2 linked regions of the Caenorhabditis elegans genome follow. The protein of the gene in region 2 interacts with the protein of the main gene of each other region in a pairwise test. Each region holds a gene or a part of one and is shown on either strand. Other genes may lie near its edges.

Region 1 (4,774 bases), on a different chromosome or scaffold from region 2:
GTCATATAATCAAAAGCTGATATGTTCTAATCTTCTACTTAATCTTTAGCCTGAAAGATATAAGCATGTGTAACGTAAGTCAATGTTGCAGTTTTTGAAGGAATATTCAAAAAACAGGTGGAATTTAGAAGCTCTTTTAGCATATGAAAAGTTATTGGTTCGAGTACTTTTGCACCAGGGGTGTGCGGCAAATCTCAAAATTTGCCGAGCTCGGCAAATTCGGCAAATCTACTTTTTTGAAATTTGCCGTGCTCGGCAAATTCGGCAAATTTGCCGAGCTCGGCAAACGGCAAATTCGGCAAATTCGGCAAATTTGCCGCACACCCCTGTTTTGCACCCTTACTAATAATTAATGATGGGAAAACTGAAAAACTCCATACTTCCATATTCTGAATGTGTCTATAAAAATTGCTAATAAGTCTATAACAAAAAAGAGAACGAGACATAAACACAGAAAGTTTGCAAAAATGAGCATACGAGTCTACTTCTTGTGCTCGGGGGGCTCCAAGCAAAAGCTCTCCCAGAAGACGTTTGTCTTCTCCTTTCGTCCTCGTTTTCTTTCCCCCTTCTTCTTCGTTTTCTCAAAGAGGAGGCGAATAGAGCGAGGAATAAGCGAAACGACGACTGCTGAGGACTATGTGCTCTGTCAGAATCGATAGAGAAACGGGAGAAAAAGAAGGGAAATGCCGCGGCGTCAGGGACGTGGAGAAGACGTATTACGAATTGCCGGGGTCCCTCTTTGTCGATTCTGTGCACTATGCACTCCTTCCGCTTTGGTGAACATTACGAACAATTCTTGAAACCGTTTTTTTTCTTTTTAGGAACAGTATAAAAATAGGAATCGAACAACAAATTGGGCAAAATGGGGGATCTATCGGAACGAAATAACAAGATCCTCAACATGTGGGGAAACAACTGAGGAAAGATCGAGAGGAATGAGATAAGTTGTAGAAGAAGAAAAATAATTTTAAAAAACAAGAAATGAATTGGCGAAAAATCAAAATTGGAAAACCGAGTCGTTGTGCGGATATGAATGGATATCACTTCTTATTTTTAGGTTGTCGCATCTCTTCTTCGGCCTTTTTCAACGACTCCCCACGATCCATGAACAATTTGGTACAACGGTCCACGTCCTCTACCTGAATAGCGATTTATTTAATACATGAACTACAACATTCTGCAACTTACTTCAATGACCTCTCTTCCACACGTTTGAGCACAAAGACGAGCTGGAGCAATCAATTGTAACGCATATCTCAATGATTTTTCAGCTCCAACTTTACTTAGAAGATCAAATGCTTTTTCTTCGAATTGAACATTTTCAGCTTCGGTACGATGAACGAGAATCTTCCGGATGTCTTCTTCGTTATACTTCATCGTTGGAATAATCATCAGCCGATCGAGCATTTCTGGAGGAATTCCATGTGGTGCCTTATCGCCGAGTCCACGAACTGTTGTGGTTCCACGGTTAGTTGCAAAAACCACGACGGGTGCCATTGGGGACTCGAGCGCGCGATAGAGATAGGTAAAACATTCTACGTCAAGCATATGAACCTCGTCGATGAAAAGAACACCAGGCATTAGTTCAGCCACTCCACTTTCAATGTATTCGTTGACTACTTTGTTGATTTCAGAACGAAGACGATCTAAAAGACAGAATAAAAATTGAAAGGTTCGAGTTTTAATGTTTATCAATCACTCACCAGTAACTTCAGTTTTCTTTGGAGTCATCAGCTGTGAAACAATGTTACTAACATCTCCTTGACGTCCTTGTGGACGGGCATTTGCGATATCCAGATCATGCAAAGACACGTTTTGAACAATATCTTTAGACTTTCTAACATCTCCTTTCGGCATTGGCACAAACTCGTCAGCCTCGAGGTCAAACTCAGATGCATATACATCACACCGTCCAACTCGTTTAACGATTCCTGAGTTCGCTTCAATATAGATGACATCACCAACTTCTACTCGTTGCTTCAAAATCGAGTCATAGATGCTTGGATCCAATTTCAGTTGCTTGCTTCCTTTTGCTGTTTTCAAAGAAAGGACAAGATGAGAGATGGTTTTTCCCATTCCGGAATTATCTGAAGCTTCGACGGGGCTCAACTCTGTAACTTCTCCCTCGTACACATCTTTGGTTTCCTTAACACGCAGACCAATAGCTCTTCTGAAACTTCTCATGAGCACTTCCGTTTTCTTTACTTCATTGGAAAAGACCTCGCTTGCAACAAGTGGCACAAATGGAACGCCGTCACCCAACTCCTGTGACATTGCAAGCGCGATTGCAGTTTTTCCAGTGGCGGGTGGTCCAGCAATCAATACAGCTCGTCCGGCCATACACTTCAATCGAATCATATCAACTACAATTGATGCAGCTGTTCTGGCGGGTGCTTGGCCAACGAATCCAGCAGCCTGTAGAAATAATATTTTATTTAGCATAGGCTTTATTTCATAAGTAGTTATTGAAATTGGACAATTGAAAAAGAAACCTCATAGTGAGCTTCTTGTGTTTCTGTGTCAATTCCGAGTCCCTTGACGTGACTGTGAGCCGCAATGCGTTTAATTTGCTTTGGAGTTGGTTTTACCTGAAAAATTCGATTTAAAATACTAGGTTTTTCAAAAATTAGCTCACTTCTTCGATTGGTGCAAGTCTTGAAGAAGAAGTACCAGATATTGCCTCATCGACTTCCATATCCATTATTTTACGAAAGCGTCAGCGTGAAAATAGAATGAAAAATAGAAATTTAGGGAAAGAAAATAAAATTCGAAAATGTGTGCAGCCATCTCATTTTACGCACAAATGCAGACAAACAGCAATGGAAGGAGACCCGAAGAACTCGGGGGATGTCCAACTGGGGGGATTACCAACTCGGGGGATTGGCCCCGCCCACAGAACCGTGGCTTGCATTACGCCCATTTCTGCAACTGCCGCACGGTTTTAAAACTGTATTTTTCTCAATAGAGCGAGAATTAACAAGAAAAAATAATTTTAAAACCGTGCGGCAGTTGCAGAAATGGGCGTATTGCAAGCCACGGTTCTGTGGGCGGGGCCAATCCCCCGAGTTGGTAATCCCCCCAGTTGGACATCCCCCGAGTTCTTCGGGTCTCAATGGAAGGGAAAGAGGAAAAAGAGATAATATTCTTATTTGAAGTAAATGTCAAATATAAGCCGAGAGTAACTTTTCTAAATAAAATGAATTTGCGAAAGTTGTATAATCACCAATAGAGATCCCAAGAAATTAAAAATGGCATTCCATTCGGGAACCTGTTAATGTAAAATAGCAATGTACCTTTAAAGTACGGTAGCACAACTTTGAGACAATTATCTGGAATTTGTCCCAAATCCTGCTCCCTCGACAATCCTTCGAAATCGAATATTCTGTCTCAGTTATTTTTGGAACAATGGCTGCGCTTTTTGAAGAGAATGATTCTTATTCGGTGAGTTTCTGGATTAACAAGAATAAAGTATAATTCAAGAATTTTAGGATTCCGAAAATGAAGAAGATTTTAGCGGCTTTTTGAGTGAAATCGAAGAAAATGAAAACGAGGATGAATTTGAAAACGACGATGAGTTTGAAGACGATGATGAGCTTGAAAATGTGGATGAACTTGAAGATGACGAATTATCCTCTGAAGAAGTGGACATCCCTTCCGAAAATGAAGTAATTGTCGAGCTTCACGATGGTCAAGGTGAGCAGTTTTATAGTTTTTTGCTCTTTTTCTGTAACAAAATATTTTCCAGCCGAAGTGGAGGAATCACTTCTTGATGCTCTTCTTGGAAAAGCATTGGCAGGAGATCAGATGAATTCTCGAATTGAAGGACTCTTCGAAGACTTGGACTCTTCAGTTGAACCTGATATCATCGATCGCAGCGAGTTAGAGGATGTGGACAGTGGTATTAGTGTTGGAGCTGTTAGTTCTTCCTCTGCAGAAACTCAAGCTTCTGATGCGAAATGCAAAAATAAGGATGCTTTCGACATGTCTTCACTTAAGAAGTATATGCAGTACATCACCGAAGAAGAGCATGCCGTATCAGTAGAAGATATTCCAGATTTTGCTTCCAAAAAGTAGGTCTTGAAGCTTTTCTGAATATTTTCTATTTCAACTCTTCATCCTTCCAGAAATGTGTATGGAACCAGCTTCAACGTTCGCAACGGAATCATGTCTCGTCCACCTCGTTTCGAATTTGCTCGTCACGATCAACGCTGGATCGATTCATGTGTATCCATGGCATACGAGAAAGACAAGACATTGAAAGAATTGATCACACTGGGAAAGTTGACAACAACTGTCAAGGCTGGAGCCAAAATTGAATTCAGAACCAAATTCACGGATGTTCATATTCGAAGTGCGGATGAAATTAACTTGATGGAGACACATGACATCCAACAGATAATCCGTGATGCATTGAATTCAAAGCGTCTCGCCGTGGTTCTCTTTGGTATTGGGAAAGACGGAAAAGTTACTGGATGCCACATGGGTCCTGGTCAACAAGATAATCTGCGTCTTGCTCTGGATACTGCTGTTCAAACCGAGTTTGCACCTCCAATTGAGAATATTCTCGACGTAGTTGACATGAACTTCGTTCCAGTTGAAGAAATGGATGAGACGTTTCTGATTGTCATTCGAGTGAAACAACTCCGTAATCAAGTCTATCGTTTAGAATCATCTGTTTGAAGTTGTTAATCTTCTGTTTTTGTTTTGTTCGTTGTTTCGCTTAATATCGCCTCCATTATATCTGTATCATGAAGTTTTGTACCAATTTCTGATT
Region 2 (7,279 bases):
TGAACCAAATTATAAGCACTCCTCCTGCATCCGAAGACGAAGAACCAGAAGTTAAAAGAACAAAATCTGAAATAGAAGCTGTTATGTTTTCTGATCCAAAAGTACCACAAATGTCTCTTCAGTTGATTTCTCAGTGGCAGGAAGCACTTTTATCAACAATAGTTCAAATTCCTATCACTAATCAAAAATCTTCTTCGGAGAGAAAAAGTGGATTTGGAGTTGTTGATTTGTTAGGAAGTTCTTGAAATTTTGCTTTTATTTATTCTATTGATCTCAATTCCTATAATTTTCTGTTTTTTTCTAATATTTCTGTGTATTAACGGGTGATAACCACTCAGAATTTCCAATGTTTCAAGCAATACATTTTTTAATGCAAAATTACGATTCTTTCTACAGGATCCACACAATTAAACGATTTCTTATTTGTTAAAATCCAGACACTACAGAGTCAACTACAGTAACCCAAAAGCTTCAGATTAAAGTTTTCAGTGCAGTTTTTATAATCGAAAGTTTAGCATCTTGCAATTTTTTTCTTGCAACGATTTTTTTTCGAAGTTTCCGTGAATCGACTGGCAAATTAAATCACACCCAAACTATTGCGCCACCTTTTCTCTGGAATTGAGAAAAAGACCGAAATTTCTGAAGATATAACGAAGAAGGGAGAAGTACATAACACACAACAATTAAAAAAAGTTCATCCGGTAGTAGAAAGAAGTGAAGCATTGGAAAATTATGGAAACTGTACGGGAAAAGGTGACTAGCACATAAATTGAAATAAATAAATATTTACAGTAAACATTTGAAGAATAACAACCAGAAAGCGAATAGAATCAAGCGATATTTGTCATTAGAATTCTTAGATAGATGGCCAGGTAGTTTGAGCTTAAAGTTTTGTAGCAAATGGAGATTTATTTATTATTTGACATCTTTTCTCTCGTAGAACAGAAGATATGCGCCTTGTTTGTCAACTTCTTCTTCAGATACTTCCTGAAATTTTTTCCACTAATTGATTATAATAAAAACCTTGAACTTACTCGAACCGAACAGTCATTCAACAGAAGCCATTTGTCCTCATTGCTCTTTGCATAGGCTATGAAATGTCCACAGGATAGTTGTCCATAGTGATTCTTAAAACATAAATTTTTGAAGAAATTTAAGTTTGTATAAGTTTCTTACAGCGAGTGCGATGCATTCATATGTATTTCCGTCGGGCTTGTCAACAAATGGAGCTGGATCGAAGTGCTTCAACGGGAAATTCACCGTTCTTTTGCACTTTCCCATTCGACCTTGTTCGCGGAGAAATTCGAACCGTTTGAGATGAATTATCTGAAATTTTAATAATTTTAAATAAAAATTGCGCCATAGCCACTCACCAAGTACTTCGGAAGCTTCCAAATAGTCATCACTTTGTCTCTCATCGTCTTCTTCTCACAACGGTCACATTGAATTGCTGCGTCAAGTGTCTCAGGGCATGAGAACTTCTCAATGCAGTGCTCCAATGAGCTTGGAGCAAAGTGCCTTGACCAAGTTTCGGCAACTGAAGGATCATCTTCACATGCTTGCTCCTGCGAGTGATTGTATCGAAGGTAGAGAGCGATTGGAAGCCAATCCACTGCAATCGGACAGTTGGCAGGAATGAATACTTTGCTCTCATCTGGACGGATTGGACATCCTCTGCAGAATCGGAGAGCCGGGCATTGCCCACACCATTCATAATTCGGATCAACCAAACATAAAGTGAATGGATATCCTGAATTCTCATCTTCACATGGATCATGAGCTCTACTCGAGGAGGAATTCACAGAGTGTTCCATAAATCGATGCATTTGATACATTACATCTTCGTATAATTTCTTTCCAGTTACTTCTTCGTCCAATCCAACGATCAAAGGAAGTCCAAAACGAGATACTATGAATCCGGCAGTTGAACCAAGAATGTAAGGTTCATGGTTATACTGAAGCTTCCTATGCATCGCAACTCGCCACTGATCTTCACCTGTACTTTCTGGTAGCTCTAAAGCGTAAAGTCTTGCTCCAGAAGGGAATGAACTCAGCGGCAGCTCATCGCGTAAGTTTGAACTTCGATGATTTGGGGATCGGCTCATAAGCGTTCCTTTACTGGACATACACTGAATCGTTAGATGTGACATCGAGATTCCACTTGATACGGCAACCACTTCCCGGAGATTTCCAACCTTCGAGTCACGTGACAATCGGAAACCATAGCGACGCGGGATTCGCCCGTCTCTATGTACAACTGAAATTTCCATATTTTGGTGAACCAAATTGTGTTATTCTTACCAATAACTTGATACAAATCAACATCTTCAAATCCAATTGGCAACGACAACGATGTGAATGGCTCGAAGACACTCGAGCTCGATTGACAAGTTCGGCAAATTAGGCGGGAACGGAGTTGGCCAGTGAAGAGCTGTGTAACGAGTGACTCATTTTGTTTTTCGTACTCCGTCCATGATCTTTCAGCTTTTTCTTCATCAGCTTCTTCTTTATCAGCTTCTTTCTTTTTGCTTGAATCCGACAATTTATTTGAATCGGTTCCTTCAGATTCTTCGGGAGATGGATGAAGACTTTTGTTAGATTCATACATTGAAGTGTGAAGCTGATCCAGCAAGAATGCTACAAATTCTTGACAATCATGCTGCTCACTACATTCAAACATATCCGAGCTCAATCGAATAGCATCCTATAAATTTGAATAATTCATTTTCAACTTATAATAACAAAACTCACATTAAAATCATTCGGAGCAATATTTTTCTTCTTCGCTGCCCACATTTCTCTGAGCAGTTTCGCATACTCAATTGTCGTCTCTGCCGCATCTCCTCGCCTCAAGTTCCCTCTTTTGATAGCATCCAAATTATCCTCATCCAAAAAATATTGAGTGAGTGGGGAAACTCTCGCAAGACACTGGATTCCGGCGTTACGGTAACAGAAGTTACCGTAGTTAACAAGACCAACTGCTCCTGGGCGACCTGAAGAATCTTATGGGAATTGATTGACAATGAGAGCTTTTTGATAATTGCGATTTTTTTGTTTTTTGAGAAAAAAAACATAAACTATTTATGTGCTTTTAATAAAGTCGAATAAAAGATTTACCTGACAATTGTGCATTCGAGGATAAAGTAGAAGCAGCAGTGATTTGTTTCCCGGAAAGAGATGCTCGTAATTCTTCTGGCCACACTCCTGTTCCTCTTTCTCGTACTTCCAGTAAAAGCTTCATTTTATTCACTTTTTTCGTTTTCCCTAGTGACGAGTATAATTGATGTAGATTTTGTGCTCCATCGTCCAAAAGTACATTTCCTTCTTCATTCTCCTTCACAACTTGCCAAAGCCTTGCGTCTCCATCTCCGAGTCGAAGTTCTGTCTTGCACAGCGCGAGAAGCTCATCCACAGTCATACTTCGTGATACTTGAGCACACGCCCAGGATGTCAAGGATCTTGGAGTGTTTTCTGTACCATCCTGGCTCTTCTTACGATCATGGCCCAGAAGGAGAATTTCGAGTGGATACAGTTCAAGAGCGGGCTTGTTGTCTTCAAAGAATTCACCATCCAGATACTTTCTTGTGAATTGTGAATCTACTGTCAGTGCACATCCGTGCCATCGGAGCCATGCTCTCCAAAGTGGAACAGGCACTCGGATGTAGTCAGATGGAATAAGATCGGGTTTCAGACGAGCTGATTCAGCTGAAATGCAAGCAACCTGAAAATTAATTAATTCTTTACTTTTCCGGACTAGAAAGTCAAACCTTGCTGGTCCAGCTATCTTCTCTTGTTCCCTTGATACCAGAATTATCGATTGGATTCGGATTTTTATCTGCTTCCAGGAAGGATCTGAGCTCAGCATGCCATCCTGAAGCTACAATGTTCCACTCGGAAAGTGGAAGCTCAGAGGCACGTTTTTCAAATTCGCTGAAATTCAAAGTTATTTAAACTGAGAATTGAAAGCTACACTAACTTCACAATTTGTAATTCCATTTTCCGTGACTCTGGTCTCAATCCGAGACAAATGTGTCCGATTTGAAGAGCCATAGAATAATATTCATTGACATATTTTTCGTTTTCCTGTGCCCATATTCCAAAATCAACGAGAGCAGATTTCCCATTCGATGATTTTGTGACAGTCTGATGTTCTTCTGGGACATTAAGATCTTTGTACATGTTAGAAAGTTCTTCGTCAGACAGAAGTTTGTCACAGTCGACGTCCCAGATTCGTGCCAACTCTAAAACAACTTTTTAGTTTCTCAAAATAATTTCTTAAAAACTCACGAGAAATTCTCCCTGGTAGAGGTCCACGACAAAGAGCCGAAAGTGTACAAACGAGCTCTCTGAAGTCAATTTGACCATCTCGATTCTCATCGAAAACAGCGAATAATCTCTCAGCATAACTATCCGGGAAGCATCCACCCAATGCTTGTTTCCACTTCTCTTCATTCAGTTTGCAGACAGCTCGATCACTGATCGTGGCGAACACTTTCTCTAACTCGATAACCTCGTTCACGGATACTGAAAAATGGTTTTTGAAATACGGAAATCAAGATAATTTAAATCTTACAATGCGTCACATAAGACATCACTTCGTAAAATGAGATATAGGAATCATTGAGCGGAATCGTAAGCTTAGGAGGACTCAATCCCCATGACGCGAACTCGTGATATTCTTCGATAAACCCTGAAAATAAATAATTTAATATTATTTCTGAAATGTTTCTTGACTGACTCGATTGTACTTCTTCTACTCTACACAATCCAACAAGAGATGAAAGCAAATTGTCAAAGGAAATGGTTTCAGCGCCATGAGAGAAGAAGCTGAACAGCAGGCGTCGTTTTTCTTCTGGTATCTGCGCGCCTCCGAGAACATGATAGCAGAATTCCTTAAATGGTGAAGTTAAAAAAATAATTAAAAACAGTTACGTCATAATTAATGCATCCATTTTTGAAGCGTTGGAAAGCTTGGCGAATTCGTCGATACTCCTCGTCCGATACTAAAAATTTGAGTTTATGTTTGTTTTGTAACATCCCTGAAACTCACTATAAGTTTTAGCATCTTCCGCACTGATAATCGGTGCGATAGCGTTCGAACGTCCAGTTAACGTGTTACCCATTTCGGATTATGGCATTTGAGCATCTGAACCAGATTTTCTTGCCGAATCTGAAAGAAAAAATGTAAAAATCAATTTATTTGAAAAGAAAAGCATTTGTAAAAGTTTTTCAGTGGAGACCGACTTTAGAACGATTATGGAAAACAGTTTATTCCAATAAACCCCACGAAAAAACACGAATTGCGGGAAAAAATAAAAGACTTGTCGAGAACTGTCAAAAACCCTCGCGCAGTGAGACAGTGTGTGAACTTAAGAGACGCAGGGTGTATAATGCAAACTCGCTCTGTTGCGATTTCAGAATCACTTCGAAAAAATTTTTGCATTCGAAATCATTTCGCTCATTTTTTCATCTCGAGTTTGGTTGTAGAAGTTGTTCTCCCATTTTTTGTGTTATTCTTGCACATTTTCAGTCATAAATATGTACCTGTAACCTGATCAATCAATCAATGTCCGTCTAGTCGCATTAGCGTGCAATTTGAGTGTAGAGTAATTCCGATTTGGAAATCCTAAAGTACATTTTCAAGTAAATGCTATCTTTTTGGTTGTATGAAAACTTGTGACAGCTCTTAGCAGAATGTTCATGACAACCGCCTTTCATTCACTGCAAATTATTACTTGCTCATCGCTTCATCTATAACCGTCTCATCAATTGCAAGTTTCAGCTAAATGTTCGGCCAGAACAAATCATTCGGCTCATCGAGTTTTGGCGGTGGCAGCTCTGGGAGCGGTCTATTTGGACAAAACAACCAGAACAATCAAAACAAAGGATTGTTTGGTCAGCCAGCCAATAACAGTGGAACTACTGGCCTTTTCGGGGCGGCACAGAACAAGCCGGCAGGATCAATCTTCGGAGCGGCCAGCAACACTTCCAGCATATTCGGTATTTTGATCAATAATTGTATGCGTTTGATTTATTTTAATATTTTAGGAAGTCCGCAGCAGCCTCAGAACAACCAGAGTTCATTGTTCGGTGGAGGGCAGAACAATGCCAACAGAAGTATCTTTGGGTCAACTTCTTCAGCAGCTCCCGCAAGCAGTTCCCTATTCGGTAACAACGCTAACAATACTGGAACCAGCAGCATTTTTGGTTCCAATAATAATGCACCATCTGGTGGAGGTCTCTTTGGAGGTAAACAATTGATTTTCGATAAATAAATTAATCTTGTATCAGCTTCAGCATCGACCGTATCTGGAACCACTGTTAAGTTTGAGCCACCGATCAGTTCTGATACTATGATGAGAAATGGGACAACTCAGACAATTTCCACGAAGCACATGTGCATTTCTGCAATGTCGAAGTACGATGGAAAGAGTATTGAAGAGCTCCGAGTGGAGGATTACATTGCAAATAGAAAGGCTCCCGGAACAGGAACGACTTCCACTGGCGGTGGGCTTTTTGGAGCATCCAACACAACAAACCAAGCTGGAAGCAGTGGGCTTTTTGGATCAAGTAATGCTCAACAGAAGACTTCTCTGTTCGGGGGAGCTTCGACGTCATCTCCATTTGGTGGGAACACGAGCACAGCAAACACTGGAAGTTCATTGTTCGGTAACAACAACGCCAACACGTCTGCTGCAAGTGGATCTCTTTTCGGAGCTAAACCAGCGGGCTCGTCACTGTTCGGATCTACAGGTAAGAATAAATCTAGCATCAACACAATTTTTAACCTTAAACTTAGCTACAACAGGAGCTTCAACATTCGGTCAGACAACTGGATCGTCTCTTTTCGGCAATCAACAACCACAGACGAATACTGGTGGATCGTTGTTCGGGAATACACAGAATCAAAATCAATCTGGGTCCCTGTTCGGCAACACGGGGACGACTGGTACCGGACTCTTCGGCCAAGCTCAGCAACAACCACAGCAACAATCGAGTGGATTCAGTTTCGGAGGTGCCCCAGCGGTGAGTTAAGATATCCTAGAATTTCAATATTTTATTAATTTTCAGGCGACAAATGCTTTCGGTCAGCCGGCTGCTGCAAACACCGGTGGAAGTCTCTTCGGAAATACTTCGACAGCCAATACTGGCAGTTCGTTATTTGGTGCGAAGCCTGCAACAAGTACCGGCTTCACATTTGGAGCCACTCAGCCAACAACTACAAATGCCTTCGGTTCCACAAATACCGGAGGTGGATTGTTTGGAAACAATGCAGCAA

The links.
Region 1: the proteins of cyk-3 (region 2) and ruvb-1 interact in a two-hybrid assay, tested with the Caenorhabditis elegans proteins (one large-scale study listed by BioGRID).

What each region holds. Positions count from the first base shown.
Region 1 is NC_003283.11:9,977,996-9,982,769, forward strand, and holds ruvb-1 (RuvB-like 1), read right to left. Parts: upstream 2,808-4,774; 5' UTR 2,702-2,807; coding exon 2,636-2,701; intron 2,589-2,635; coding exon 2,493-2,588; intron 2,416-2,492; coding exon 1,704-2,415; intron 1,647-1,703; coding exon 1,189-1,646; intron 1,140-1,188; coding exon 1,041-1,139; 3' UTR 796-1,040; downstream 1-795. Other genes in the region: tofu-1 (Schlafen-like protein 1), read left to right, coding at 3,406-3,441, 3,489-3,693, 3,746-4,070, 4,125-4,680. UniProt on the Caenorhabditis elegans protein: Possesses single-stranded DNA-stimulated ATPase and ATP dependent DNA helicase (3' to 5') activity suggesting a role in nuclear processes such as recombination and transcription.
Region 2 is NC_003281.10:6,018,056-6,025,334, reverse strand, and holds cyk-3 (Ubiquitin carboxyl-terminal hydrolase cyk-3), read right to left. Parts: upstream 5,177-7,279; 5' UTR 5,124-5,176; coding exon 5,051-5,123; intron 5,004-5,050; coding exon 4,933-5,003; intron 4,893-4,932; coding exon 4,739-4,892; intron 4,691-4,738; coding exon 4,574-4,690; intron 4,525-4,573; coding exon 4,288-4,524; intron 4,242-4,287; coding exon 3,977-4,241; intron 3,931-3,976; coding exon 3,768-3,930; intron 3,722-3,767; coding exon 3,118-3,721; intron 3,003-3,117; coding exon 2,752-3,002; intron 2,705-2,751; coding exon 2,302-2,704; intron 2,258-2,301; coding exon 1,374-2,257; intron 1,327-1,373; coding exon 1,177-1,326; intron 1,128-1,176; coding exon 1,035-1,127; intron 988-1,034; coding exon 916-987; 3' UTR 676-915; downstream 1-675. Other genes in the region: tbx-7 (Putative T-box protein 7), read left to right, coding at 1-245; npp-10 (Nuclear pore complex protein Nup98), read left to right, coding at 5,787-6,000, 6,049-6,249, 6,298-6,753, 6,800-7,026, 7,072-7,279. UniProt on the Caenorhabditis elegans protein: Ubiquitin-protein hydrolase which cleaves ubiquitin from ubiquitinated proteins. Plays a role in embryo osmoregulation.